Linked DNA regions of Diceros bicornis minor. The protein of the gene in region 1 interacts with the protein of each later gene in a pairwise test. Links are inferred from orthologs where the notes say so. Each region holds a gene or a part of one and is shown in the gene's direction. Other genes may lie near its edges.

What was found.
Region 2: the proteins of TFAP2A (region 1) and GSTO2 interact in binary tests that used the Homo sapiens proteins (3 or more experiments, as listed by UniProt). The two-hybrid records come from large-scale screens. The link is inferred for Diceros bicornis minor from reciprocal best matches to the Homo sapiens genes TFAP2A and GSTO2.

Annotation. Positions count from the first base shown.
Region 1 is NC_080753.1:56,159,362-56,174,822, forward strand, and holds the start of TFAP2A (transcription factor AP-2-alpha), read left to right. Parts: upstream 1-9,143; 5' UTR 9,144-9,786; coding exon 9,787-9,840; intron 9,841-10,745; exon of another isoform or gene 10,746-10,911; coding exon of another isoform or gene 10,912-10,962; intron 10,963-13,587; exon of another isoform or gene 13,588-14,361; coding exon of another isoform or gene 14,362-14,388; intron 14,389-15,461.
Region 2 is NC_080745.1:69,060,151-69,075,436, forward strand, and holds the start of GSTO2 (glutathione S-transferase omega-2), read left to right. Parts: upstream 1-9,498; 5' UTR 9,499-10,591; coding exon 10,592-10,667; intron 10,668-10,787; coding exon 10,788-10,955; intron 10,956-11,222; coding exon 11,223-11,331; intron 11,332-13,199; coding exon 13,200-13,422; intron 13,423-14,363; coding exon 14,364-14,465; intron 14,466-15,286. Other genes in the region: GSTO1 (glutathione S-transferase omega-1), read left to right, coding at 2,973-3,079, 3,817-3,970. UniProt on the Homo sapiens protein: Exhibits glutathione-dependent thiol transferase activity. Has high dehydroascorbate reductase activity and may contribute to the recycling of ascorbic acid. Participates in the biotransformation of inorganic arsenic and reduces monomethylarsonic acid (MMA).

The DNA of each region.
Region 1 (15,461 bases):
GGAGAGAAAGAGCAGAAGAGGGAAGACTCGGAAAGAAAGAGAAGCCCAGAGCTCAGAGGAGGAGTGAAATGTACACCTGGCCCCAAGGAAAGCCCACTGTCTCCATTTCTTAGCGTGTGAAGACCGCCTACGGTGTGGGTCTAAACCTGGATCCCGGGAAAACGGCGACGCCCCCGAGAGAGGCAGGGAAACGCTGGGGTGGTAGCAATGAAGTTGGACTTGGTCTTAAGATGGTTAATTCTCATGCAGGGCAATTCGCTTGAGAGATTTACACCCTGCCATGCCTAGGACTGAGACACGCCCTGTTTTCCCAAAGGATGGACAGGTATAGTTGGGGTCTGAAGTTTTTCACAAGGCCAAAGATGAACAATAGCTGCCGTTTAGAACGTCAACCCCAAACTCGACCTCAGATGAAAGCACGTGTTTCCCTTCCTCAGTGGTTCTCAAATTTGAGCAGGCACTGGCTTCGCTGGGAGGGCTGGTTAAAGCGCCGATTGCTGGGCCCAGCCTCAGAGTTCTCAGTGGAGCTAATGTGGAGTCTGAGAATTTTCATTTTTAAGTTCCCGGGTGATGTTAATCTTGCTGGTCCCTGGACCACACTTTAAGACCACTGCCCTAAGCCACCGGTTCTCCAATTTGCCTGTACTTTGCAATCAGCCGGGATATTTTAAAAAATATTTGTGCTTGGGTCCTACCCCTAGAAACTCTGATTTAATTGATTTGGGGAGCCACGTGAGCATCGAGATTTTAAAACTCTTTAGGTGATTGTAATATACAGCAAAGTTTGAATGCCACGGCCCTAAGTTATCCATTGCTCCCGGACAACTTTCCTGGGAGGAGAGGGGATGGGGACTTTCTCCCATCCTGCTCTTGGTGATTCCCCCGGCTTGGGATCTAGCTCTCCCCAGTCTTTGGAAAGGAAAATTCCTTACCTTACAGATGTTTTGCACAGTGACACAAACACGACATTGACTGTCCGCTTTCATCACCCACAGAGAAATTATAAAGGATGAAACAATTCTGCCAAGGCCTTAAAAAACGCAAATGATAATTTAACATTGAAAATTCTGCCTTGCATGGGGTAAATAGGTAGTGCCTTCAACACCCCAGCTCAAGATATTCCATTAGGAGCCAAAATTATCTCTCAGGGCCAATGGTTATAGACTTTTCAGGCTGGACTTACGGAGACCGAGAGTCCTAAATCCAGGCTGGATGGCAGGCACTTGCATGCAAACTCACCAAATGCTGACCTGCTACATTAATGTTGGCAGCAGGGGAAATTCGCCCTTGGCTAGGAGAATGGGGTAGGGCAAATAGTACTGGATGTCCAGCATCACTCACGCACAAACTCAAACTCTGGTTATATTAAGCAGTGAATTACTGATACTATGACTAGAAAGATCTTCACAGTGCACGTCTGAAGGGAAACGGTGGGAGTGGGGTGGGAAAGCTTGTTCTCTTCCCCTTCTGAAGGGCAACAGGAGAGGCAGAGGCAGAGGCAGCCCAGAGGAACCTCCTCAAACACTAGGCTGTGCATAGGTTTGACTCCCTGAAGACTTTCTCATCTCACTCTAGACAAGCCAGGAAGGGGATGGAGATAACCGGAACCAGTCCCGACAGGGACTGCTTATAAGTTCCCAGGACTTTCTGCCTTTCCGCCATTTCTTGGCCATTTGGCCGGCACTGCCCAGCGCGTCCTTAATCCTCGCCCCCCCTCCCAGGAACAAGTGCACGGCAGGGGGCGGGAGGGGAGGGGCGCACAGCAGTGTTAAGAGGAGCGACACCTCTTAGAACCGGTTAGGGATTCCTGAAGACTGTCCCTTGGGCCTTGCAGTGTCCCTGCGAGGGAAGAGATCAAAAGGGACCGCGCAATCTCCAAGAACTCACTTTTTCCCCCCTCTGCCCGTCTATTTCGGGGTAATGGGAGGCAGGCTTTAGTGAGTCTTTGAACATGCTAGAAAAGTAGACATCGGAGTGGGGAGAGGCAGATGAGTGGATTCCCAAGAGCCAAGAGACTCCGCGCTATGCCGGGCCAGTCCCAGGCTGGGCTCCCCTGTCACACCCCGCACCGGCGCTCAGGCTATCCTCTGTCTTTCCCGGGCCTGGAGGGACGCGGCGTGTCCAAGCGATTTACTCTGGAGGAGAGTGGGGAGCATTCACCTTTTCTTTGCCCCCTCCCCCCGCATACACACACACACTCCGCGCGATTCTTCTCTAGGGTTTCCCTCCAGGGCAGATTACTTTATGACAGGGTGTGATAAGTGGTGATTTTGTTCCTCTTTTGATGGCAGGATTGCTTTGTAAACAGAAGCGCAAACTCGTTCCGATAGTGGTTCCGCACCAGTGCGCGGCAGCCGCCCTGGCACAGCGGGCGGCCGAGGCTGCGGCTGCACCTGTCGCCTGGGGCCGGGAGGGACCCGGGCCGCGCGTGGGGGGCGCACTGAGCTGGGTCGTGGACCTCGGGCCTCCAGGGCATCTCTAGAATCTCAGCTTTTGGGCCTCCCAGCTTGCTGCACTGTACCCTCTGCTGCAAGAACTCTCAGTTGAAAGTGCATGCCTGGCAGGCGTGCGGTGGACACCTGTCAGGGGCGTCGGGCTTCCTTTCTTCGCTCTTCCTGGGCACCTTTGGTAAGAGATTTGGCTTCTTTCTTTTGTGGTTACTGGTAACCCTATTCCTTTGGTCTAATCCTTTTGGAGAGTCAAGCGAGCTTTTGCCCCCTGGAAGAACCGCCCCAGGTGAACGCCTCAGATCTGGGTGTGGCAAGACGCACCTCGACTCCCCTCACCTTCTCCCGTGAGTGGTCCAGCCCTCTCCTTTCCTTGCTCCGAGCCTGGGGTCCAGTTTACCTCTCTGAGGGGCCCAAGAAAGACCCAAAGTTGACAGGCTCTCCAGGCCCAGAGGCGGGGAAGACGAGCCTCGGGAGAAGAAGAGGTGCAGGCACAGTGAGTGGTCACTCAACTTGTCCCAATAATCCCCGACTCCTCTAGGGGAAAGCTAAGCGAGGCCGAGGCCACCCCACAAGTGAATTTCCACGCTAACCCATTGCTCTAGATTTCCAAGGAACCTCAAACGCCCAGAGTGGGTTTGGCACCTGCTGATGAATGAAACGGTGGGGGAAGAGTCCTGGCTGCTCTGGGGTGGGGTGAATGCCGTTCAATCAGAGCTTTACCCTAAAGGAAAGATTGTTGCCGCTGCAACTTTGGGGCTGATGAAGCTGGGGGAAGGGGGGGAGTGGGAGGGGGGAGGTGTGTTATGGGACAGGAATAGATTCCACCAGGATATCCTGGGATACCAGGGGCCTCAGAGAGCCTGAGCTCAGCATTACCTGAAGCCAGGAGCTCCGCCCAATCTGACACCAAGTCATCCTGCTCCTTCCCACAGCGCAGGTCGCCCGCACAGAGCGATGCACAAAAAAGTTGGAGATTGTGCCGAGAGTCCCAGCACCTGTTAGCTGCCAAGCCTGCTTTGTGGTGGCGCGACCAGAGTGGGGGAGAGGGACTCCTGCTGATCTCCCTCCCCTAATCCAGTAAAACAAGCCGCAGTTTTTTTTGATTCTCAAGAGGCCCAAGGCCAGACAGTTCTGGAGACTGCTTGGATCCTGGGGCAGGTCACCTAGGGCAGTTAGTGGCTCTGGGCCTGCCCTGGCACTGGGCGCAGCTGATTCCTTTGGGTGGCTGACCAGAGTCTGGGCGCAGGCTGAAGCTGGGAGGCATCCTCCACCTGCCCCTGGTGGCTCCCTCCTGGAGGCGGCAGAATCAGGCTAGTGCTGAGCTGGGTGGGAGGTCTAGGTGGGGAAGGGCCCTGAGGGGTGAGAGGGTGTCTGGGGAGTAAGAGGGAGGGCGCACACCTGGGAAGACGAGCGTTCTGAGGAGGGAGTCGTGGGAGGTGCAGTTGACCACGACATCTGGCTACTGTGTGCCCAGGGAAGGAGCAATGGAGTTGACGTCATCTTGAATTGAACCGATCTTGGGTGCCTGAGGGTGGAGGATGGGGAGGAGTAGACCATCCTTCACCAGGCTCAGCAGTACAATATGGGCCAGGAGCTGTGCTAAGCACTCAGCACACTCCTCTAGTGAATTCTCACAACAAATTACCCGTTTTACAAATGAGTAAATTTAGGTCCAGACGGGTCCAGTAACTTGTCCTGGATCACTCAGCCGGTAAACGTAAAGGACAGAGCTGAGTTTGGACCCCAAGCGGTCGTACTCCCAAGCTAAATTCTAGCTCCTGGCTGCTCCCAGATTCCTCGCGTCCCTCCTCCCTTCTCTCCCCTCCCCCTACTCTGACCCCAGACCCAGTCCCAAGCGTCTGAGTAGACACCAAGGGCTCTCACACCCAAGGCCTGGACTGCTTCGCTTCCACACCGTCCTGTCCACTTCCACCCAACCCTACGCTGCAGCGTGGCTTCGCGCTTGATCCCACTGGCAGCTTTGTCTCCTCCTTGCCGCACACGTCCCGCACTCCCCCGCAAAAACACTACCGAAGTTGGAGATGGCACTCTTCGCGCCCCACCCCAGCCCTAGCACACGCCCGCTCGTCCTTCCCGGGCTCGGCCTGGCCGGGCCAGCCGGGTCCCAGGTCCCTCCAGCTCTTGTTCCACCCGTGCGCGGGAGAAGGCAGGCTGCCCGAGCCTGAAACTGTGCTCATTTTTAAGAGAGCACAGCGCCTCCCGCCGGAATCTCGAAGTGCTACAGACGCGTCCTCCGCGTGTGGCTTGGACTTGGAAGAATTCAGTTTTCACCAACTTATTTCGACAGTCTGGAAAAAGCGGGGAAAGTGAAGCGTAGACACTTATGGATTAAAAGCGCCATAACTCAAATTATTTAAAATTCTCGCAAGCAAAAAAAAAATGTACAAACAAAACCCAAACTTGCTGAGCAAGGTTCTAAGGCAGGTCCAAGAAAGTTTCAGATCAACAAGAGAATCGGCACCGAGAGGAAAGTCCCGCAGCCCGGGGACGATTCAAATGCCTAGGTGACACGGGGTCTCCTCGGAGAGACACCACTACCCACCCCTGGAAATGCGCGGAGGGCGCAAGGCCACCTGGGCAGGCCACAGGGACAGAGGCGCGAGCGCAGGCTTAGAAAGGGGAGGTTTTGGTGTGGGGACACATCTTCACTCCTCAGAGTGGAGCTGAGCTTTTACACACGTTCGTCTGACGTGACATGTCAGAGAAGTCGATTTGAAACCGGTTCTTTGTACATCTCGCAGTCTCCGCGACGGCAGCTTGGGAGGATAAATGGGCCTGTCCCAGGAGTCCCAGGCCCAAGCCCTGGACAGTGGGATCTCGCGGCTGCCAGCATGAGGCTGGCACGGTAGCGGGTGACGGCAGCCGAGGCTAAGCTCCTCACCCTCGCCTCCCTCCCGGCCGGCCAGGTGTGGTTCCTGACGAAGGTGAGCTCCTCGGGAGCCCGAAATCCTGTGGCTTCTTTTAAAGCTCCTTTCTAATTAGAAGCAGCGGTGAAATCATCTGAGTGATTTTATCTGTCATGGGAAAGCAAACCCCAACCCAAACTTCAGGTGCCCATCCCAGAACCACCAACGCCCCCATTCTCCCTTTAAAAAGTTTTTAGTGGAAAAGCTGAAGAGCTGGGAAGCCATAGAGGAGTGGGGGAGGCGGACTGTGAAAGTGGGAAGAGAGAGTGGACCTTCAATAGAAGTGTAAGTGTATGAGTGTGCAAGTGTGTGTGTGTGTTCGGCTCTCTGAGGTGGGAGGAGACTAAACCTAGAAGCCAGAAATGAAACAGAATCGTGAACGTCTTCACCTACTGAGAAACACTTTGATCTGAGATCCGACGTTGAAGCAGCCCTGGGGGTTGCAGACTGGGGTCCGCGAGGGCCGGGAGTGCCCTGAACCTCGTGGGCCGGTGGGGAGGCCGGGACCGGGATCTGGCCCCACCGTGTGCATTCAGGTGCGCAGGACCTATCGGGTCTGGCCTCCTCTCCTGGCCTTGCCTTCCCCCCACCCCTACCTCTGGGTGGAGACTCTCCCACCCCCCAAGTTCCGAGAGGGAGGAGAGCCATGAGAAGAGCTTGTAGATGCCCCCGTTGCTTGAGTGCGAAAACACACCCAATCACACTCGCATCGCGCCCAGCACACCCCAGCAGGCAGTCGGCCTCGGTTCCCTGGTCAGGGACTGACCGGGAAAGCGGGTTGGGGCTGTTGGGAAAAGCTGGAACTGATGGCGAGATTGCCGCGGCTATAAATCCATCACTTCCCAGGTCAGCTCTGCGAGGCGCTGAGACTAGGGCTGGCGGAGTGCATTCCTGGGCTAGTGCGCATGCGTCAGCAGGTAGCAACTCAGCTCTTTATGACCAGGTGAGATGTTGGTGAGCAGGTAAAAAAGGAGGATTTGCCTAAGCGATTCCAGGGAGCGGGCCCGGCCGAGCCCTACAGCCCATGCCCGGCGGGGACCCGTCGCCAGGAGCGCCGAGCCGCGATGTCCATACTTGCCAAAATGGGGGACTGGCAGGTACGGGGGTTTGCCTTGGCTGGGGCTGAGGTGGGCGGGGGTGGAGCGGGGGAGGGGGCCGGGAGGGGGAGGCGGAGAGGAAGAGCCTTGGCCCAGGGCGGGAGAGTCGTAGGTGAGGCGCGCCTGGCAGTGCCCAGGAGTGTTCCCGGGAGAGAAAGAGGACAGGAAAGACGAGCGCAGGCGGAGGCCGCGGTGCTGGGGGCTACGCGCGCCGCGGGCGGGCCGGGAGCTGGAGAAAGTCCGGCGCGCGCTCCACAGGTGGCCCCGGGGGTCACTTGCGGTTTGCGTTACAGCGGTCCTCCCCCACCCCAAGGAGAAATAGGGGTAGATGACTAATTCAGGAGGGGGGAGGGCTCAGGGCGGGGGTGCGGTACGCCGAGAGGAAGCTTCCCTGCTCGCTACCCCTTGGGTCTTGCCCTAGACCCCAGGGCTGCGCGTGAGGTGGGCTTCTGGTGCACCTGTCTCTCTTTGTGTCTCCAAGTTTTGGTGACCTACGGGGAGTGGAGAATGAAAAGGGGTCCAGGTGGACGGGTCGCGCCGGCGAGCATGTTCTTTGGGGTAATACTTAGACTTTGCTCAGTTTAGCTTCTCGCTCGGTCCGCTTCCTGAAGCCAGTTTTCACAGCTTGGGCTCCGGATGGGGGTGACTGGATGAGGAGTGAAGGGTGAGTGATGAGGCAGGAGGTCTAGAATTTGCCGAAACCAACGCCTGCGAAACTGGGCCTTACTCGGTCTCCGACACCACAAGGCCACCTAGGCTCCAGATCCTGCCCTCCCGGAGCCCGGGGCCCCGACCCCGGCAACGGAGGCGTTCTTCCAGCGCTCTCCTTCTACCTTCCAGACATTTCCCCTACGGGAACCAAGGCAGCTCTGGCCAGGTTGGTGAGGGTAGCAGCCTCTCCCCTGTCGCCCATTTCATAATGGGAACCGCGGGGCCCTCTTTTCACCCCAGCCAAGCCAGGCCTGGTTAGGGCGAGATTCTGTGTTCCTAAAAGCCTGCGTGGCGATTCCAACCGAACGCCCCGAACTTCCCAAAGAAAAGGAGAGCCCTGCTCCTTCTGGGGCAATTTCTTTCGCTTGTTTCAGATTTAGGCCATTGCAAGTAAAGTTTAGAGAAGTCCCGTCTTCACTACATTCCCTGGAATCGGGGAAAGGAAGTGCTTTTGCAATTTTTATTTCTTTCCTTGCACTTATTTTTATTAACCGTGGGCTCTTTTATACTTCTCCCCCCAGTTAAATCTCACTAAGTGCAATTTCATCCCCAAAGTTTGACTAACTTTGTGGTTTAAGGATGCAAATCCCTCACCAAACACAAACCCTGGAAATCTACACCTTTTTCTCCCTTGCCCCTTTGGGCCTCAGGGCCCTTCTTCCTCCTCTTCCCTGGAGAATGAGGGTAGTGAAGACTGGGGGAGTTCTTTGGCGGAGGTCTTTGGAGTTTTCTCCTCAAGCCGGGCGAACTTTGCTGCAAAATTCCTCGGCGGTGAGAAGGCGCCCGGAGCGCAGGCTCGGCCTAGGTCTGGGCCTCCAGAGGGCCGGACTAGGGTGCGGAAGCTGCGAGATCCCGGCCTGAAGGGGAAAGGAGTGAATCCTGGGCCTGGCTCCTGCGGGCTCACAGTTTGGCATGTGGTGGGAAGACTAGATCTCGGGTGGGGCAGGGGGATTTGGGGCATGGAGGGGCCGGATCCTCCTGCCTTGGCCTGTTGGGCTCCTAGGTCCCACTGGGTGGGGACAACCTAAGAAAATAGAGTCATTCTGGCCCCTCGCTGTCTCCTTGTTTCTGTTGGTGTCCCTGTTACTCACACAGATACTGGCTCTTCCCCGGACGCCCCCTCCACGCCAGACCTGGCCTGGACCCCCGACCCCTACCCCCAGGCCTGGCGCTGCTGTCCCGGGTCTGGCGATGCTGGAGCATTGACATGCAATGAAGTGACTTGTCTTGGTAATGACGCTCACATTAACGCGGCTTGGCTGGCTCCAGGGGCGACTGGGGTGCTCACCCGGCCTTTCTTCAGCGCCGGTAACGCGGGCGGGCAGCACGGAGCGGGTAGGCCCCAATCTGCACCTCAAAGGCGCCCTCGGCGGGAGTACAACAACAGTTTAGCAGCCCCGCGGGTGCGGAGCCGGAGATCTGCGGGGCGCGGGTCAGCAAGACGGGAGCGGTGAGTGGAGAAGATGAAGGGCCTTAAATGCCTTCCCTAGCCCACAAGCAGAAAAAAAGAAAGCGAAACTTAGAGTTCCCTTAAGCACACTCTGGCAGTATCTGGGGGTTGTAAAATCCCATGCTCCCAGGCCTAGGATTTGGCCTAGAGATCACGCTCTGCGGCTGGCGGCCGCGGCTGGGAAGGTGTCAGCGCTCCCGGCGGCCTATCTCCCGACTTCAAGCCGCTGCGTGGAGCTGCGGGCCCGAGGGCAGCTCCGCAGGGTGCGTGTGCTAGCACTGGAAGCTGACCATTTTCTGGGCAGAGTGCGGTGCAGAGCCGAGAGCTGGGTTCAGCCAAGCAACTGTGCTAGTGTTCGGGTGGGGAAAGGGAACGCAAGGGAGCGCCCAGGGCGTTGGGACCGCGTCCCTCCAGCTCTACCCATCTTTCCCCCCTCCGCCCAGCTCTAGCCTTCTTTCTAACTTTTGGGGGGCCTCTGGCCTCCTTTGCCTGGCTTGGGGAATTTGCTGCAGTCTTCTGGAGGGAGAATTGTCTTTCCGCAGCTTTGAGGGGAGGGATCCTTCCTCCTGTTGCCTTCCTTCCACCTGTTAGGGAACGCTCGGATTTGGAACAGCCTGCACTGCTCTGCGTGGACGCACTCTGGAAACCTGGGAGGATTGGCGATTTGCAAGAAACAGGCCCAGATGGAATCGGAGGGCGTACTAGAGCAACTCGGAGGCCAGACCTACTATTGTTGGGGAGTTTTCGATCGTCGAGAGGGAGAAAGACAGAAACTTTTTTATGGAGGACAAATGAGGAAGCTCAGCCAGATAAATTAATTACTCTGTATTTCGAAGGATCACATCACGTCTTTTTTTTCTTTCTTCCTTAAAAAAATTCGCTGAAACAGAAGAAAAAAATATAAAGCCCCAGTGGGGCGAGCAGGCCCCTGTGTGGAGCAGGAGATCTAGACTGGCCAACATGGACGAGAGGATGGCTCGAAGGCCTCCGGGTTCCGTGTCAGCCGGGCACTGCGCCGCCAGCGCGCCCGCGTTAGTAACATCACCAAATCATGAAGGAAATCTCCTGCTTTAATTAAAAAGGGGGATCTTGGGAAAACTGGAGCAGATTAGCACAGCGAAGAGTTGGTTCCCAGCGATTTATTTTGATGCATGCATGACACAGCGCGCACATGTCGGTATTTCGGCTCAACTCCAGAAGCGACTGTGAGTCTCCATAGGAGTTCTGTATCTGTATTCTTGTCCACATCGCACCCAGGAAACCCTTAGCCCAAACACCACGTTGAATTATCAGTCGGCCCTAGCTTTATACAAACGAGAGGAAAATCATTTAACCCCTGGAGCTGTCAAGTAACCTCTTCAGGGTACAATTTTTATTTTACACGGGGCAATTAAAGGATCGCAAACCCCAGCCGAGCGACTGGAGCCGTTTGGTAAAATCTCCAACCTGGGGGGAAAGCGCAAAGCCAATAAAACTCCCAAAGCGCTGCGGCCGGAGGTGGCGGCTGCCGCGAGCGGAGGCGATCTCTTTTGGGGCAAAAATCCTGGAGTAACTTCGCCGGTCTTGGTTTGGTGGTTATATTTAATTGCGAAAGGGATAATAATTTCTCATAAAATTGGACAGGGCCGAAAGGACAGCGCCGTTAGTGGCGGCAGGGGTGGGGGAGAGGTGCTGGAAGCCGGGCTCGAGGAGCGACCTCTCGGACCCTGCGCAATGCCTGGCTTTTGCGGAGGACGTCTCCCGCGAGGAGAAGACGGAGAGTTAGAGGAATGGGGTGGAATGAAGGGCGGGGGGGCGGGAGGCGGCGCTGGGGCAGGGGCGCGCGGCGGGGCTCAGGGGAGATTTCGTCGGCTCACAGGCAGGCGTGTGCTCTAGAAGCAAGTTCGCGGCTCGGAGAGGCCTTTATACCTGGGTTGGAGCGGCCGGCGGCAGATTGTGGTGCTGGAGAGCAATTGGACTATTGTTGATATGCTAATGAGGCGATTAGGCCGTTGGTAAAGAGCTGGAAAAGGGAAAAGTTTCTACCATTAGAGGGAGATCTCCGAGCGCACACGGGAGCTCTTTCCTTTCTCTCCTGCTCCTCCTCCTCACCCTCCTCCTCCTCGCCCTCCTCCTCCTCCTTTTTGCCCTCCTCCTCCTCCTCGCCCTCCTCCTCCTCCTCTTCGCCTCCTCCTCCTCCTGCGCTCACCGCCGGCAGCCAGCACTTTGCGCTTACCCAGAGAGTAGCTCCACTTGGGTGCGAGGCGGACAGGGGGCAAATCCGTTCACGCCGATCCATGAAAATGCTTTGGAAACTGACGGATAATATCAAGTACGAGGACTGCGAGGTAAGCGCGGCGCTGGCTCAGTTATCCTTGCTGCGGCAGGCTCCGAGCTCTACCTTCCCGCTCCTCCTCCTCTCCTCGCAGCCAGCTGCGAAATGCAGGTGGGACAAACTTTCCCCAGCGCAGCGCCCGCCTCTCCGATTCGCCCGAAGAATGTAGGGGAGAAGCTGGAGAGGGAGGATGTGGATGGTCCCTTCTTTCATTTCCCTCCTTCGAAACCCGTGTCCCACTTTCCCCATTTTTCTGATCAGTTTTGGCTGTGCCTAAGAGTGGAGCTAAGAGATGAGCATGGGTTTTTGAAGCAGTTACTGGCAATTGGGCACACGCCTCTGCACTCTGCGTGACTCTCCAGCGAGATTCTGGGGGCCCAAGTCACCAGGAAGAGAAAGGAAAGAGAAAACCCCTTTCCCTCTTTAACATCCTCTCTACTCTTTAATATTCCTTCTTTTATTTATTCATTCTATCCTTCCTTCCTACCCTCCCCTCCCCCTTTCTAAAAAGGCTCTCTTCTCTTTGGAGAAGGGGCCGCACACTTCGCTCTGAGCTGAGTTACACCTCCCAGTAAGCGGGTTCAATTTGGAAACACTCATCTCCCAAATTGCCACGGGGCTTGCTCCAGGTACTCTGTTATTCAAGAAGTTCTAAACAGCTTCTCCCTCTGAGCTACTTGGCGCACCCCTGGAGTGGGGGAGGAGGGCTGCACCGCACGGAGCCTACTGGCCGCCGAGTCCCCACACGTCTTGCCCTGCAGCCGCCCGGCGCTCGGCTGCGTGACCGTGGGAATCCTGGCGAGGCTGCACACGATCCCTGGTGCCGGGAGCCCCCGGAACGATAGACCGCGCCGCTTTGAAGCCCATTTTAAAACCCTGGGTTCCCGAAGTTCAGTTTCTTGGGGCAGCCGGGGGAGCCCCAGCACCACCCGTCCTGTCCGCTCGCGGGAGGCGCTGGGAACGGACCTGGTGGCCGCTGCCCTAACCTCCCTTACAGCTCCTGCTGAAATGAGCGGATGAGTCACGGAAGGGGGTGGGGAGGAAGGCCCGCGGCCCAAGATTACCTAAATAAATAGGTGGCTGTCCCGGCTTTTGCTATTTTTCTTTTCTCTTTCCTTGGCTTGCTTTCTTTCCGGCATTTGGAGCCGAGAATGTCAGGCGTAGAGGTCTGTGCGCACGCAGCGGCAGGGGTCTTGTCTTCACTTGAAATCAGAACCTGAGTTTATGTGAACGATATGTCACCGTCCCCTTCCCCCTCTCCTTTCTGTAGACTATTTTAAATCTTTCTCCTTTCCCGTCCCCCCCCCCCCCCCGGCCCGCTCTGTGGATGGGGCACCGGGTGATATCCCGCGGGGACGGGCTTTTCTCGGGGGGCTTCTGTCGTGCACAGTGCGGGCCTCAGAGACCCCACCAGACCAGTCGCTTTGTTTTCAGGGCTGGGGAGGTGCCCTTTGCGAGCTGGTCTGGGTGAAACTGAGCCCCTTAGTTTCCCAGGGTGAATTGTCCCAAGCCGGGCTGTGGCCCGAGGTTCGGGCACTCACTTTCGCGGAGGCCCAAACTTAGCTCCGGGCTCCAAGCCCTGGGCGGGCGGGGTCCAAACCTCCGCGAGGCGCTAGGCGCCTATGGAACCGACGGGAGAGACGATGAACTTGCACCCCCAGAGAGGGACCCTGTGGGGGCGCGTGTGAATGTGTCTGTGAGTGAGGCAAAAAAAAAGATGAGAAACAAGAAGGAGAGGAAAATAAATAGAGTGAAGGCTGTTTCAACAACTTTGTGGTGGGCGAGCGCCGGAGCAGGGATTTCGGGTTTCCGAGCCGGCTTGGAGCTGTCTAATTATGTCGGGGCTCTGCAGGGACACGCAGCAGGCGAAGTGCCGCTTGTTCTGACAACCCAGCGGACAGACTGGCAGCGGCGGCCGCCTTGCCGCGCTGGGAGAGAGCGAGCCGTGTCATCTGGGGGGGCGTCGGGCGGGAGTGGCCCAGCCAGTCGGACGGGTTTGCGCTGGGAGCCGGGAGCCCGTGCCAGCGGCGCCCAGGCTGGGCCGCCCTGCGTCTCTGCGCGCCCCTGGCCGCGTCCCGGCTCTCCCTCCCCGAGCCCCTGCCCTGGAGAGCCACGGGCAGGGCGGCAGCTGCCGCAGAGCGGACGGCCCCGGGTGTCCGAGGGAAGCTCGAGTGGTGGCCGAGGCGCGGGCCGGCGGAGCGGGAGGGCCGGTCCCGGGCGGGGCGCCGGGCCATGGAGGAGCGGCGCGGCAGCGGGCAGCCGAATCCCGAGTCCCAGGCACGGCTGCGGAGCGGAGGAGCCCGCGGCCGGAGAGGAACGGGAAGCACCCACCGTGCCGAGAGCCCGATGAACGCCCGGACGCAGTCGCCGGCAGCTCCTGCCCGCGACACGCGGCCCCCGCGCTATCCCGAGGTCTGCCTCAGCCTTTTAGGTCTGATTGTCCTCGCTCGCTTCCTCTCCCCCTCCCCTCCCCCGCTGCCTCCCCCTCCGTGCGCTCCGGCTCGGCCCCCTCCCCCTCCTTCCCTCCCTCCCTCCCTCTTTCCCTCCCTTCCTCCTCTCGGGCTCTCCCTCCTTCCTCCCTCCTCTCTCCCCACTCCAGTCTCTCCTCTCTCGCCCACACTTTCTTTCTCACACACGCACGCAGACACATTCTCCCTCTCTGCGCTCTCTCCCTCGGTCTCCCTCTCTCCCTCTTTCTCTTTCACTTTTGCATGCCCTGCAACCTTTTAAAATGTTGCCCCTTCCCTGTGATTCGCCAGACGCCGCGCCGCGGCCCCCCGCGCGCTCGCCCGCTCCCTCTCTCGCCCGCTTTTTGTCTCTCGCGCTCCCTCTCCCCACCTCCGATTTGCTACACTGAGGCTCCCGTCAATGGACTGCATTGAGAGCCGGCTCCGGCGCGAGTTGCCTCTCCGCTTCACGCTCGATTTCCAGGCATTCTTCCCTTATTAAGTATTCGTGTAATATTAATAGTCATGAATATCTGCTATTAGGAAGCTCCAGGAACGCTGCCCAGCGCGGTTATTAGAAGCTCAAGCGAAGCCGCCGCTAAGAAAAGAGGGGGAGACACGGATTAAGGAACACGCACACACACACACAGACACACACACTTTTTTCTTTTTCCTTTTTTGGGGTTTTTCCTTTTTAAAGGAACTTTGAATCATAACCGATCACGGCAGGATAGAGACCGTGGGTTCGACCAGCTGAAGGCGCCGCTCGAATCGGTGGTTCAAGTTCGGATGGACCAGAGCGGGGCTCCAGTGCTCGGGGCAGCGTCGGCGCCGTGACTGGAGTCCTGGGTGGCGCGGGGCTTCGGCGCCTTTTGTGTGGGGCGCGCTCGGGCGGCGGGGCAGCCAGGCTCTCCAGGCTTGCTTGTTTTTTTCCACCCTGACTCGTTACCCCAGACTCTTCGCAGATGTTAGTTCACAGTTTTTCAGCTATGGTGAGTCCCATCCCCACCCCCATCCCTGTTTCCTTAGGAATTCTGTTCTGGAAACCTGGTGCTGCGGAGCGGCCCGAGACCTCGCGTTTCACGCCCAGGTTTCCTTCAGGGCAACCCCTTTCCATCTGCATTTCCCTCTTTCCTCTTTTCTCTCGCTCCTTTCCGTTCTTAAATCGAATGCCTTACCTCCCCCGCCTCCGCTCGACCTCTCCCGGCGGACAGACCTACCTCACCGCTACTTCCCAAGGCGTTTCTCGCCACCCTCATCTTTATTTCCTTGCGTCTTCACTTGTTCCCGAGATGTTCTCAACATCTGATGCTTAATCCATCTGCAGGAAAAGCGCGGCCCGATGTGCCCCCTACCCTCGGGGCCCGAGGGTTCGCCTTCCCTGGAATCAACTCTGTTTGCTTGTTTTGCAAGCGAATTGCAATAGAGGAACATAAAGTCAGGCGTTTCTTCTGCCCTTTGGGGCTGGGGTGGAAGGGGCGGGGGGATGTTGCTCCGCGCCGGGGTGCACCTTTCTCTTTTAAACCCAATAAGGCTGAATCTTTCTATTTTAAACCTTGACTCGACGTCCCCCTCTCCCCATCCATATCAAAAATCGACTCTGTCGAGAGAAAGGCTCCTAACTGAGGAAGCGGAAAAGACAGACCCCCAACCTGCAGTTTAAACCTTCTTTAAGCTGGTAATTTAAACGTGTGCTTTCGTTACAGCCCCTCTACGAAATATGTTTCTATTTAAATAGTCATGAAATGGTAATAGTCTTTGAACGTGTATGATTTTCCTCCCCAAATAAATGGAACAGAGTAAACAATAACGCAGTGGCAGGCAGGTTCAAATCCAGGGAAAAAAGAAAAGGCCGCTTCTGCTGTTTAATATTTAGTAGGAATTTTAATTTTGCTTAAGGGAGGTTTCACACTGCAGCTTAACGGGCTGTATTCCGGGAGGCCCTTTTCTGTCTTTTCCCCCTCTTTGAAAGAAAAGCCTAAGAAGAGTGTCTTATGCCGCTACGTTTGCACAATCTAATTCCCTGCGTTTTTGGAAGAGCCCGTCTCACTTCTGGGGTATTTTC
Region 2 (15,286 bases), on another chromosome or scaffold:
CATTCTGCTCACACACAGCCTTAGGTTTTTCCTGAGGGAAGACATAGTTCCTGTCTTGTATGGGAATGTATCCTAGCATTTTATCAGTAAGCATGAAGTTTGCTGTAGATTTTTTTCAGAAACCTTTTTTTTATGAAGAAAGTTCTATTACTAGTTTGCTAATTTTTAAAAAAGTCACGGATGAGTGTTGGACTTCATTGAATGTTTTGTCTGCATCTATTAAATCTATTGAAATGTTCAGAAAATTTTTTCCCTTTAATCTGATGAATATGGTGTTATTGACAGAATTTTCTGGTGTTGAACCATCCTAGCATTACTGGGATAAAACCTACGTATTTTCAGTGGATTTTCATAGATACTCTAGAATTAGTTAATATTTTAGAGATTTTTGCATATTTGTTCATAAATGAGATTAGACCATTATTTTGTTCTTATAGTGTCTTATGTGGTTTTTATATCAAGGCTATTCTAACCTTATAAAATGAGTTGGGTTACTTTCCCTGTATTTCTAATCTCTGAAACCATTTGATAGGGTTTGGCTGTTTCTGTAAAACATTTGAGCCTAGTGTCTTTTATGGGGGTCAGTTTTTCATTAGTATTTCAATTTCTTTAATGTAATTGATTTTGGGGGTTTTATATTTCTTCTTGAATCAATTTTGGTGATTTTTTTTGAAAATTATCCATTTCATCTAAGTTTACACATATATTGGCATAAAGATGCTCATGTTTCCTAATTTTTAAAAATCTCTACATATAACTACTTATATACCTGTATTCATTTCCAATATGGTTATGTGCCTTTTCTCAAGTTTTCTTGATCAGTATTTCTAGATATGTATCTTATTAGTTTTTTCAAATAATTAGTATATGTTTTCTTAATCCTCTAGGGTTTGTTTTACAACTCATTATTTTCAGCTTTAACTTTATTTCCTTTCTTATAATTTCTTTAGATTTACTATTGCTCTTTTACTAACTAGCTCAGGAGTTGGATATTTAATGCATTTATTTCCAGTCATTCTTGATTTTTTAATGCATTAATGATCACCATATATTTATTTCTAAATAACATCTTAGTTGCATCCCATAAGTTTGAATATGCAGTATTTTCATCGTTCAGTTCTAAATTTTTTTTGCAGTTTCCATTGTGATTTTTCTCATTGCCTCTCAATTATTTATCATTGTACTTTCAAGTTCCCTAAACTACCTTTTTTGCTGTTTTCTAATTTAATTACATTATGGTCAGAGAATGCATGTGGGTTATTGTTTTTTTGAAAGTTAAGACTTCTTTTGTGGACCCAGTTGGCAACCTGGTAGAGCCTATGGACTCATTCTCAGAATAATGTTTTTAAATGCTTAAATTAAAATATACGATTCACTCATACTACTATGGTTTACTGCCGTTTTGATAGTGGAAATATCTCCTAAATTTGGGGTTAGTGGGGAGAGTAATGTAATTTTTTCCCCATCTAAGTTCACAGACTTCAGGTTAAAAACTCGTGCTTTAAAATGAGTTTTCCATGTTTTAGGGCTGCTGACTGAAACCACCATACTTAATTTTATTTATGCATAATTACCAGGCACTACAGTTTAAGGACAGACCCAGAAAGACTGATTTATTGTACAATTCTGAGTGCCTAATAACTGCAAGGCACTCTGCTGAGGTAGAAAGTAAGATGCTGTCCATATTCTTCAGATGATTACTTAGGTAGTAGACAAAAGACAAATACTCAGGTAGATATAAACAATCAGTCTACAAGGCAGAATGTTATATGGGCCCTGAGAAAAACTATGGAAGTTTTATAAAGGGTAAGTTGGTTTAGTGTTTACTAACCAAATAATATTCTTAGTTCCCACCTTTGGCAAAACCATAATATCAATTCACCTTCTTAAATTTAGGAAACATACTATTTGTGCTTGGTTTTCAAATAATTTTATTTGGCATCTGTTTAATAGTTAATCCAGTTATTTCCAGTATATTTTAAGTAAATTTTTTATTGAAGTATTATATGCAGAGAAGTACCCAAAGCATAAGAGTACAGCTTAATGAATTTTTACAAAGTGAACACAGCCGTGTAACTAGCACGCATATCAAGAAACAGAATACTAGTTTTGGCTATTTTTTGTACTTTATATAAATGGTGCATATAATATGCACTCTCTTGGGTCTGGATTCTTTCATACAGTATGAGGTTTGTGAGGTTCATCTATGTTGTGTGTAGTTCATTCCTATTCTTTGTATAGTGTCCCACATATGACTATACCACAATTTATCTAGCCATTTTACTCCCAATGGACAGTAAACATTTCCACTTTGGGGCTATTACAAATAGTGCTGCAATGAACATTCTTATACATATCTTTTGGTGAATATATGTTCACATTTACAAGTAGTAGAATTACTGTATTATAAAGTATGCATGCACTCAGCTTTAGTAGATACTGTTAAAACATGGTTGTACCAATTTACGCTTCTACCAGCAGTGGTTCTACACCCTTGTTAACTTCCTCTTGTTCATTTTAGCCATTCTGCTGGATGGGTAGTGGTATTACATTTTGGTTCCAGTTTAATGTAGTTGAGCACCTTTGCAAATGGTTATCGGCCATTTGGATGTCTTTTGTGAAGTGTCTGTCCTGCCAAATTTTCTAATGGGTTGTTTGCCTTTCTTCTTATTGATTTCCAGTTCTTTCTATATTCTGAATACCAGTCCTTTGTTGAGTGTATGTATTACAAAGATCTTGTACTCTGTGGCGTGTTTTATTTTTCTCCACTGTCTAGTTTATTTTATTGATTGTTTTGCTTCATCTCAAACTAACAGATTCTAAAGCTTAAACTGATCAGACAGAAAACCAACTTGGATATGTCAGGGTAAAAGCTGCTGCTTTCATCACTCTACTTAACTTGCCCTCATCATCTCTGATGATGCATCTTACTAGATACACTAATAAATACTCTTATGTTGTTTAATGTTCAGGTTCTGACCAAGAAGAAGACAACCTTCTTTGGTGGCAGTTCCATTTCTATGGTTGATTACCTCCTCTGGCCCTGGTTTGAACGGCTGGAAGTAGTGGAGCTAAATGAGTAAGACATTTGAGTATTTTGTGAATAATTCAGAATAGTATATATTGACCTTTTTTCTGAACAAAAATTAAAATATTTCATACAACTGGTATGAATGGGAACAAGCAGACAGGAGGAGGAGCGTCTTGGACTATCCAGGGCATGTCATATGCCTGCACTCACCATTCCTCCTCATCTCTAGTAGGGCAGGGAGTTCTGTGACTTAGTAAAATATTTTAAAAGTAATTTACTCCTTCCCTCCTGGTTGAAAATCCAAAAGGATGTACATTTTTATAAGGATGTCATGCAGGATTGTATAACCAATGCTACCTCCCATTTACCAGCAAGATTCCATACTATTTTCCAAACTCCATGCTTTGAACTTTGGCAGCCACCTTGGCTTACTCCCACTTCTTAAAGCTTAGAGCCATTCAGGGTTACTTTTAGTCCCAATTTGGCCATAGATTGGTTGTCTTTCATGTTCTCATTTTAAAAAGTTATCAGTCTCTCAATTTGGACAAGTTCTTATGCTAATGGAGCAAGTCACTTCACTCTAAGATTCCTCCTCCATAAAACAAAGACTTCTACAATATCTTCCAAATATAATATTCTATGATTATGTGCATTTAAAGAAATAGTTTTAAAGGTTAGAAGAAAACAAAATGAAACTGCAGAGTGATCATGATGATATATAGGAGACTTTGCAATGCCTTCATGGTTAATCTAGCTCATGCCTCCATTCTTTCCATCTCCTACAGCTGTGTAGACCACACTCCAAAACTTAAGCTCTGGATGGCAGCCATGAGGGAAGATCCCATAGCATCACTCCTCATTACTGATGCGAAGACCCTTCGAGGTTTCTTAGATCTCTACTTGCAGAACAGCCCTGAGGCCTGTGACTATGGACTCTGATGGGGGCAGGAGTCAGCAATGAAAATATGTCTGATGTTTTCCTTCACTAAAATGAATAATAACATGCTTTTATTTTACCAATAAAAGCTGTCACTTCTCAGTGGCTCACCTTCTCTGATTTGACATCATGGCCTAACTGTGGGGTTTCCTCAAGGCCCTCCTGCAGAAATGTGAACACATTTCCTGTCTTAGGATGCTCAAATGACTCTAAGGGATCTGTCATAGTCTATGATGAAAACCTCTAAATCATCATCTCTAGTGAGAGCTGGACTTCAGTCTAGATTTCTAACTGTCCATAGGACATTTCCACTTGGATACTCTGTTGTCATTTTAGGAGATGCCCTTTCAAGTTTGTCTTCTGGGTTCTGAGTCAAGAAACTTTCAATTCCTTATTCTTTCCTTTCCATCATCAACTTATTTCACTACCTTTCTTATTCCCATTGTCACCACTAAAGACCAGACTCACATCACCTCATAGCCAGGTGACTAGGTGGCCTCCCATTTGGTGTCCCCATCTCCAATCTCTATCCCCTTCAAATCCTTCCTACTAAATCCCACAGTGGGCACACAGCAGGTGTCCCATATAGATAATTAAATACTTTGAAGACCACATCCGTCAATACAGTATGTAAGGCTGGATGAGTAATGCAGAAATATTAATGCCATCTTCCATACACTTCTATAGCTCATTGGGCTTCTCACTATTTAATTTTTATGATCACATCACCTCCATAAGAAGGCAGGTCGGAGAGCATCATTTCATTTTACAGATGATTCAACTAAGGCCCCAGCGTTAAGTAAGGCCTTAAGATGCTGGCAGAAAGACCTGCAGAACACACCCAGCACACTGCTCTTACTATCAGAATTAGGGGGCTGTCGACCCGCCCAATACACGCTGGTTTCCTGTACTTAAACTTAAGAGCGCATAACAATCACCTAAGGCTCACTGCTGGATTTCGGATCAGTAGGTCCGGGGTGGGCCGGGAAATCCATATTTGAAATGAGCTCCCCGCTCCACGGTGATGAGGGCGACGCAAGGGCCGCACCCTGAGAGGCAGCAGAGAACCAGTTGACTTCACAAACGGCCTCCTGCCGCCCACTGTCACCACCAACGCCCAGGCTCCGGGCGGACCCATCTCTGCCGCCGTCCGCCTGCCCCACCCTCCAGGCCCGGGTCGGCTACATGCGGACGCCAGGTGGACTTACACCCGGGCGCCAAGGTCCTCACCCAGCCACCACTTGGCTTCCACACGGACACGCGCAGGGACTCACGACTCCAGGAGCTTGTAACGCGGCCGCCGATTGGCTCACTCGGCATTGCTAGGCCGGAGCGTTTCCAAAGGCTTCGAGGATTGGCTGAAGCTCTGGACGCTGCGGCCAGTTGGCGGGTAGGATTCTAAGGGGCGGGTTCTGCTTGGGCCCCGCCTCCCTCTGCGGCCACTGCCTCTCCACTGTCGGTTCTGCGTGCCACGGGGCCAGAGGTCGCTCGGGGGTGTCTCTCCATTCACCGCCACCGGGTGGGCCGGTCAGGCCTGTGCTGCGTTTGAAGAGAAGAGTGGGTTGAGGTTAATTCTGAATTTGGGGATTTTTCACGAATTTCGGGGCCCAGAATAGGATTGCCAACTTTATTTTGCCTAACACCTTTAAAAGAAAGTCCAACTACTTTATCAAAGTTTCATCAAAGATTTTTAACATCAAAAAACGTACAAGGGTTATAATCTAAGGCTAAGAAACACGTCTTTGAAGCGAATATATTTAACGTAAAGAAAAAAACCCAAATTCATTAAGTTGTTATGTTTCTGATTTGGCTGGAGACAGGTAAAAAAGCCCGCAGATCACTAGTTGTCAGCGCTGCCTCTTGGCACCGCTAGTTTGGCTACATTATAAGGCACTGGCAATCTGGGGAATTTGGTCTCTGAGAATGTCCTGTCTTTGTGAGGTCTATGGGTCTTCCCTGCTACATTCAAATAATAATAGCTAATGTTGAATGCTTACTAGATAATAGAAGAACGCTAAGTATTAAATGCTTCTCATCCACTATTTGAATTAATCCTCTCCAAATCACGTGATGTATTGGTACTATTAGATCTGATTTACGGATGACAATACCGGGGCACAGAAAGTTGTGATTTGCCCAAAGTCAACCAGCTAGTAAATGCTGAAGAGGAGATTCAAATCCAGCCTGAACTCACAGTCATTTAGACCCTTCTTGAGATAAGAACTTACACATGCTTCTGCCCCGGTCTCTTTTTTGTTCATCAGCTCTTAGCATTTAGAGCTTGAGCCAGGAGAGGCTTTTTGACACACCACTATAATGCCTGGGATTTAACAGGAAGTGTTGATGTTCCTTTTCCAAACTCAGTGTGTTTTGTTTGATTTTACAAATGTTTGACTTTGGCTGATTTCAGGATCTTGAAAATCTGCGTTTGTTCATTTAAATGTTATTATATCAAAATGTTTAAATTTTTTTTTCTTTAATTCCTCAAGCTGTAAAGAAAAATAGTGATAGGAAAGCAGAATCAAGTACTTAAAAAGAAACTCACCTTTGACTCTGCTTTCCCTAGTGGGAAGATGAAGTTCCTCCTCTGACAACTTTAGTATAATTACTATGTCCCAGATCTGTGGTTGTGTGTGTGGGAGGAGATTCGATGAAGGTGGGCAAAAGGTACCAACTTACAGTTATAAGATAAATAAGTACTGGAGATGTAATGTATAACAAGTTGACCATAGTTTACACTGCTGTATGGTATATTTGAAAGTTGCTAAGAGAGTAGATCCTAAAAGTTCTCATCATGAGGAAAAAAATCTTTTTTTATAACTATATGAGGAGATGGATGTTAACTAAATTTATTGTGGTAATCATTTCACGATATATGTATGTCAAGTCATTATGTGGTGCACCTTAAAGTCATACAGAGCTGTGTGTCAATTGTAGCTCGAGAGAACTGAAAAAAAAAAAAATGTCCCAAAGACATTACAACACAGAATTCCCTATAATCCTAACTTCCTGGGAACAAGTCCTGAATCTAGGCCCATCTGAAGATAGAGCCTTTTCCCTCACTTATCCCACTTTGAATTTGAACAATATCTGAACACCAGGTAACATAATCTTTCATGTAAGTTAGGCTTCTGAAATATTACGAGGAATGTCCTTCAGTTTCTACCACTATCAGAGATTGGTATGACAAAAAAATTTTGAAAAACTGCAAAATGCAAACTCCACTTCCTCTCCTCTTCTCAAAACAGAGTCTTGTGAATCGAGTGAAGAAATTACTTCTGTAGTGGCATTCTCTTCCTAGAAGGCTTAAGTCATTATCACCCATGACAAAAGTTCCCCACGTTTTCAAAACAGATCCGATTATATTTCAGGTAGCTGGCAACCAATTTGGAGTAGGTTTAGTATGGCCTTACTACCATTGGTTTCTTGCTTGAGTGAGTCAGTATAACAGATGTGTAAACATGATATAATAACAGAGAAGGAAAATTTGCAAAGAGGATTTCAGAGAGGTACGTATTGGATCTTAAAAAGGAAGTAGGGATAAGCTTAAAGGTCATAATTAAAATCTTTCCAGGGAAACCATAGTGTTCAGTGGTAAGATTAAAAACCACATTACTGAAACGTAGCCTGCAGCGTTCAACCCATTCAGCTGGCGTTAAACTGGTAACTGATGAAGTTAGTATTCTGGGTTGATTCTGGTTTTAATTCTAATGTGCTTGGCAAAGCTGAATTGCAGTGCATTTCATCTTTGTGGATATAGTGTTAGGATGCACTATGCTGTTAAAAATGTGTTCTAATTTACCGATATTAGTCATTAATTTTGAAGTACACTGAGCTCTTACTGTGCTGAGGATGGCCTGTATGATTTCATTCCACACTGAAAACCCTTCAAGTAGGTACTATTAGTATTCTCATTTTACAGGTGAGGAAGATGAAGGTCAAAGAGGTTAGATAGCTTGCCTGCGTGCCAAAGCCAAGGTTTGGGTATAGTGCCAAGTGAGAACCTTGACATCTTATGGCTTCCCTTCAGCAGAAGAACTGTTTCCATCCCTCTGTCTCTTCTTCCCTAACTACACTAAATAGACTTGCATTTCAGAACATTACTTCCCATATACAGGTATACTTTTAATAACCAATATTTTCCAACTCTCAGAGCTGGTTTCCTTTAAAAGGTGGGAATGAGAAGAAAAAGCTTAGAAATGCATTCTCTTCTGACAAAGGAAAAAGCTGTGGATCCAAGAACCTTTTACTTTACAAATGGAATTCCCAGTTGGCCATTGCTATTCAATCATTGTCAATATACACCAGGGATGGGCAAACTAAGGGCAGTAGTCCAAATCCAGCCCACCGCTGGTTTGTGTACAGTCCAAGAACTAAGAATAGTTTTTACATTTTTAGATGGTTGAAAAATAATCAAGAGAAAAACCATAATTTGTGACACATGAAAATTATATGAAATTCACTGAGTGATTCCTAATATAAACTATGGACTTTGAGTGATAATGATGTGTCAGTGTAGGTTCATTGATTGTAAGAAATGTACCTCTCTGGTATGGAATGTTGATGGTGGGGAGGCCATGCATGTGTGGGAGTAGGGGGTATATGGGAAATGTCTATAACTTCTGCTCAGTTTTGCTGTGAGCCCAAATCTGCTCTGAAAATAAAGTCTATTAAAAAATACTATATATGTGTGAAATTCAAATTCAGTGTCCAAAAAAATGTTTTATTGGGGCATAGCCACACCCATTCGTTTTTATATTATCTATGGCTGTTTTCACCCTATGAGGGTAGAGTTAAGCAGTTGAAACAAGATGGCTTGAAAAGCCTAAAATATTTACTCTCTTGACTTTTATAGCAAAAGTTTGCCTGTCTCTGGTGTAGATTAAGATCCTGGCTGGAGTGCTGCCCTTGGAGTCCAACTTCAAGGCTTCATAAGCCTCCCTCTCCTTCTTACTAGTTGTGAAGCTTTTTACAGGTGACTTAACCTTGCTGGCCTCAGTTTACTCATCTGTTAAAATGAAATAATAATAGAACCCTTATAGGACTGTTTTAAGGATTAAATGAGTGCATACACAAAAAGCATAAAATGTTAGTAACAACTTATTTTGATTTTGAGTATTTCACATTCCTCTTATGGCCTTCCCTTTTAGAATCTGGATATATTCTCTCTCAACTGTTTGAAATCTGCATTCTTTATGTGAGGGATTCATTTGTCTGCCTAGGTGCCTTCCAGAAGCTCTCACGTGATGTGGTTACATTTGTTGCTTCTATTTTACCACCCAGTTTGTCCTTCTTAATAAAAATTAGCTCCAGATTAGTAGTTATCCTGTTCCTTTCTCTATCTTCCAAAATGCACAGTTGTCAGCATGGCAAGTCAAGAACCAATTTCTCTTTTCCAGTACCAGATTTCTTTTCAGAGAACATTTATTCAAACATTTTTGCCACTCCCCAATTCTTATAAAACAACAACTTGCCGTATCTCACGTGAAATCACTCTGAATGATTTAGCAAAAAACGTAATTGAACCACTATTCTGAAGATTTTCAAAGATTCTTATTCAGTAGAAAAAAAATGTGAACACTATTAATCACTATTAATTTCTGGATAGATTGGAATTCCAAAGCCCAAATGTGCCCATTCATAAGGTGCATAATTAGGTTCTGTCATTTTTAATAAAGATATGTAGATTCAGCTACCATTTGTTGAGCAGCTATTATGTGCTGTATCTTTTCCGGGACTTAGATCCTCTCCTCTCCACACTGTTGCCAGCTGTAAAAGCCAAGAGAATGAGTCAGGCTTTGGAGTTTTAAAATTCTTCAACCCAACTAGCTGGTCACTTTGGGCAAATAATTTCCTTTTTCTGAGGCTGTTTTCTATTTTGTAAAATAGGAATAGTACTAGCTGCCTAACTGAGTAGTTGTGGGAATCAAATAAGGTAGTCCGTGGAAATCATTCAGTCAGTGTGAGTGAAACACATAATACTTCTCCTTTTTACCTGTCAATCCTACGAAATCCATTTACAAGCAATTCCCATTTCAGCTCGGCTCTGCAAAATTAAAGGAGTTATCTTTCCGCTTGCTAAATTTCAGGATCTCAGCCTATCAGGGTCAAGCAAAGGCAGCTACCTCCCTTATCTCATGTAGATGGAAAAGCTATCCAAGTGGCCCCTGAATGGCTGTGCTGTTGGCAATGTGTCCTTCACAATTAAAAAGGATTTTCTTTGAAATTTATGCTGAGGGTGTGGAGAGAGCTCACAAATGTGTCTTTGCCTCTAGGTATCCTGTTTCTATTCGTTACCAGTTTTTCAGAGCTTGGGTGAAATCTCACAAATAGGGCCAGAACTAGGGTGAGGCAAGTGAGGAGTCGAGGGCACAAAACGTAAAGAGGCGCTCCTTCTCAGCGTCGTGCGAGATCTCAACACTAACAAGTTTTTCCTTCTTATCTGCCATATCATGAGGAAGTTTGGCCTTATTTTAAAAAGGAAAAAACCCCTACTCATTATACAGAGGATGTGTCCAATTAGAGACGCAGGAGGGAGGGCTTAGAATAGTAGAGAAAACAATAGCGTTACCCTGGTCAATTTTTATTCAACTCCCTTGAAATACGTGCCGGATGGAGTTTAAATGCCTGTTCCTTGCGGATTCTTGACGTCGAGAAGAGACCCCACCGAATGGTGTACGCACGTTTTCAAAGCAAGGGGTAATTTTCAGAGTTTTTGCTCACTCCTGCTACTCTTTGGCTTCTGAATCTGGGGCGATGTCTCTCTAGGTTAAGTTATCCTAGCTCTGGTCCCAGATCATTTCCTCTCTGCCCCGCCAGAACCTAGTCGTTCAAAAATTGAATTTGGGGCGGGAGGCGCGCGCTGGAGCGCAGCTGTCGCTGGAGCCTGCGGTGGCGAGGAGCGGCAGGGCAGCGGCTGTGAGCGCCGGGCGATGCGCAGACGCCTGGAGACCATGGCTGAGGATGCGACCAGAACCTTAGGGAAAGGTGAGTCCTCTCGACAGCGGTCCGCAGGCGGGGGGCGCCGCATGGCTGGGATGTTGCCTCCGGAGAAGGGGCTGCCCGGCCTTGGTCCCGAGACCAGCGCGGCGGGGAGGGACTTGAAGGGTTCCTTTGCGCAAAAACCACGTGCAAAGTGCCCTCTCTGGGACTCCGGAGGTTGAGGGCGCGCAGCCCTCTTGGGGTTCCGGGTTGGGAAGTGAGCCCCTCTCCCCACTGGTCTAATCCACCTCTCCGTCCCCCTTCCCCCCGCAGGAAGCGTCCCCCCGGGGCCGGTCCCAGAGGGCCTGATCCGCATCTACAGCATGCGGTTCTGCCCCTATGCGCACAGAACGCGCCTCGTCCTCCAGGCCAAAGGCATCAGGTGAGGAGCCGGAGGCCAGCGCCCCGCAAGCGCAGGGAGATGTGTAAAATCCGGGGCCCCGTGCTCAGATTTCAGAGGGGTTCCGTCTCTTTCTTCTGAGTCCAAGTGAATAAATGATTAGCAAAAGGCGAGATTTTTAGCGCGCGGTCCTGAAGTGCAGAGCTCATGCGGGGCCGTGTCTGTGAATGAAACTTTTAGAACAACTCAGAGTGAACTGAATGATGGCTCTGGTGAGCTGGTTCCCTCCCATAATGCTTGTGAAGGATGGGCGTAGCGGAGGCCACCGAGGCCTTCTCTGCTCTTTGGAATGTAGCCCCCACCCCCGCCCCTACCCCAGGCACCTTCAGATCAACTCTGTTGTCTTCTTATTGCGCCTGTTGCATCCAACATTTTCTTATTTGTTTATCCATCTTTCCTCCACACCCCCAGCCCACTTCCACTCACCCCCCTCAAATGTAAGTTCTCGAGGGTGGGGACTTTTTCTCTTGTACTCGTGGGCTAGAAGAGAGCCTGGCATAGTAGGTGCTTAAAAATGTTTTTTGAATGAATCAACAAATAGTTCTAAACAATGAAATGGAAGGAACTGCTGTCAAGAGGTGTCTTGAAGGTCCTGACATACCTGAGAAATGGGTCCATATCCTTCCAGAAGGAATTTTGCCAGACTAGCTCTTGCAAAAGAGGTCTGGATTTGGAAGGCAGAGCAACGTTGTGGAATGGGCCCAGCGTGATGCAACAGGCCTCAAAGCTGAAGTGCTGAGGCCGTGTTCTTGACTCTTGTCTTGGAGAGGCCATCATTAGAGGGTGACTTCGGGGTGTCAGAGAAGTACAGAGACTAATATAGAGACATTTTAGATAAAATTGTGTAATTCTGCTTTGTTGAGTGTATGTGGCATATATTTCCAGATTCTTCCCTCTTGCTCAGTGCTAGTTGGCCCTAAGTTTACCTGTTTAAAATAACAGTAGCTTGATGTTTTACCCATAGTCATAAGTTGGCAGCTTAGGAACTAATGTCATATTTCTTTAGGGCAGGGTTCTCAACCGTGGCGCTATTGACATACTGGGTCAGATAATTCTTTGTTGTTTGTGTGTGGTGGGGGTGGGGGGAGGCTGTCCTGTACGTTGTTGGGTGTTTAGCAGCATCCCTGGCTTCTACCCATGACAACTAAACAACGTCGCCTCTGGTAACATTATGGGCTTGAACCTCTCATAGTAATAATTAATAACAATAAGAGGAATACAAAGTTATTGCTTGTTTATGTTTCTAGGCACTATCCTCAGCACTTTATACAAATTCACTTACTTGATCCTCACAACTATGCCAAGAGATGGGTACAATTATTATCCCCATTTTACACTTAAGGACACTGAGCACAGAAAGGTTAAGGAATTTGGCCAAGAACACAAGCCAAACTGTCCAGACCCCAGGCCATCAGATGCCAGAATTCATGCTCGGAATGCTAACATTGACCATTCTCTGTTGTGACCTGTTAATATCAGATTTGTATTTTCAAGCTTTAAAATGTACGAAACTCTGTACTGCTGAGGTTAAGCACGAGAGCCCGGAGTCAGACTTCCTGGGCTCTGGTCTTGGCTCTGCTCCTTCCCAGTGGTGATATTGGCAGGAGATTCAACCTCTTGGAGCCAGGAATCACAAGGAGCAAACAAGACAAGGTATAGAAAACAGTGAACACATCTTACTGTAGGGATGCAGACGATGTTATGTACTTTTCTTTGTAAAAAACCTAAACTTTAAAAAACTTAGTGCAAATTTAAATTTTATAAATTGACCTCTTTTGCTTTCAAGATGAGCGTCTGCTTGAATAAACCTCTAATGTTTGTTCTGTCTTGTTTTCCCTTTGCTTATTAAGACATGAAGTTATCAACATTAACCTGAGAAACAAGCCTGAATGGTACTACACAAAGCACCCTTTTGGCCAGATTCCTGTGCTGGAGAACAGCAAGTGTCAACTGATCTACGAATCTGTCATCGCTTGTGAGTACCTGGATGACGCTTATCCCGGCAGGAAGCTGTATCCATATGACCCTTATGAGCGAGCTCGCCAAAAGATGTTATTGGAGCTATTCTGTAAGGTATATCCACTTTTTTAAAAAGCCACTTACACTCTATTTTTCTTTGTGTGTCTTTCCCAAACTTCAATCCATTTTTAAAACCAAATCACTGGTGAAACTGTTTTGTTTAAATACTACGTATGCCTTAGGAGGGTAACTGGTACAGAATTACAGTAGGACTGCCACCTCTGATATTAAAGGTTAAAGGCTTAGCTGATAGCACTTTTCCATTTCATTAGCCATCTCCAGAGGTATGGTTATGGCATAATTATGACTGTGTGACCTGAGATAGGAATATTGAAAGAGCTGAAAACTGGTGATGCTTTAAAGGGAAGATGTCTAAGGTTTCAGGTAAAAAAAATATTGGGGTGTGGAGAAGGTAATGCACTATGCCCTTTATGCAGAGCAAGAGTGCCGACTGCCCAGGAAATGTGAAGAAGAGAGAAAAGGGGCACCTGTTGATAATGGGAGAAAAAATGATGGAGAAATTTTAAGATAGTTCTCTTTGAAAATAAATAAAAATAACTCAATGATATTAATAGCTGACATATACTGAGCACTTATGAGGTGCCAAGCACTGTTCTCGCTGCTTTGTAAAGGTTAACTCATGTAACCTGCACAACCGCCCTTTAAGGTGGGTACTATTATTGTACCCATTTTTCAGATAAGAACACTGAGGCTTAGAGCAGTTAAATGCCTTGCCTAAGGCTGTACAACATGGTAGTAGCTGCTCAAGTAAGGAGCACTGCGGAACCCCTTTTAAAGCACCTTGTTTTACCCGGGTGCTATGACACGTGGATTCCTGGAACCACAGAGATACCCCTTAGAGGGAGCTGGGGTGCGTGGACGTGAGTGTTGGCCTGTTAAGTTGGAGTGACAAAGCTTTTGCTGCCTTTTTAGGCAGAGCAGGAGCACGGAGTTCCCGCAGACTTCTCCATTAAGAACCTGTGTCCTCTGATTAGGTGCCACATCTGACCAAGGAGTGTCTGGTAGCACTGAGATGCGGGAGAGAATGCGCTAATCTGAAGCTAGCCCTGCAGCAAGAATTCTGCAACCTTGAAGAGGTACAAAGAGGGGCCCCTCTCCTGGTCAGATACAGGGGAAGAGGCGATGCAGGGTCCCTCATCTGGTCACCCTGACACCCTCTGCTTTCACAGACTTATTTTTTCTGCCAGACTTTGATAAGTTCAGCTACTAGTCATCTGATTTTAACTGTGGGTGCTTGCCCTCTGCTGACCTGCTCTGAAATTATTCTTGAAAATCTGTGAAGGAGTTGGGAGAGGACATGCGATGAATTTCCTCCTTCCCTTGAGTCACCACTTATCTTATGTATCTCCATATGGCTCTGTAGCTTCTGCCAGTGAAGCCGAGGTCTATATTGGTTAGGAATTGTGTTTGGCTGCTAGTAAAAGGGACCTAACTACTGTAAATTTATCTTATAAGGGTTTATTCTCTCACATAAAAAAGCCAGAGGTTTAGGGCAGTTCAGGGCTGTTTTGATGGCTTCTTCATAAGTTACCAGGGACTGAGGTTTTTTCTCTCTTTCTGCTCTGTCGTCTTTCGTGCAAGCCTTTCGTCAAAATGAAAGATATGACAAGGTGACAAGATAGCTGCTGGAACGGCAGCCATCACATCCAAGTTCCCGGTTGTGGAAAGGAGAACAGAAAAAGAAAAAATGGGAAATGACCAGTCTCCCTTAAAGGACAGTCTCCAAAGTCCTACCCAATGACTACTTAAATCTCATAGGCCAGAACTTAGTAGTAGGGTCATCTGTAGGGGAAGCTGGAAAATTTAGTGTTTTAACTGGGGACACCCTGAATAAAATCAGGCTTATGTAATTAAGAAAGAAGGGGAAAGTGGCTATGGGTGGGCAAGGGGCAATATC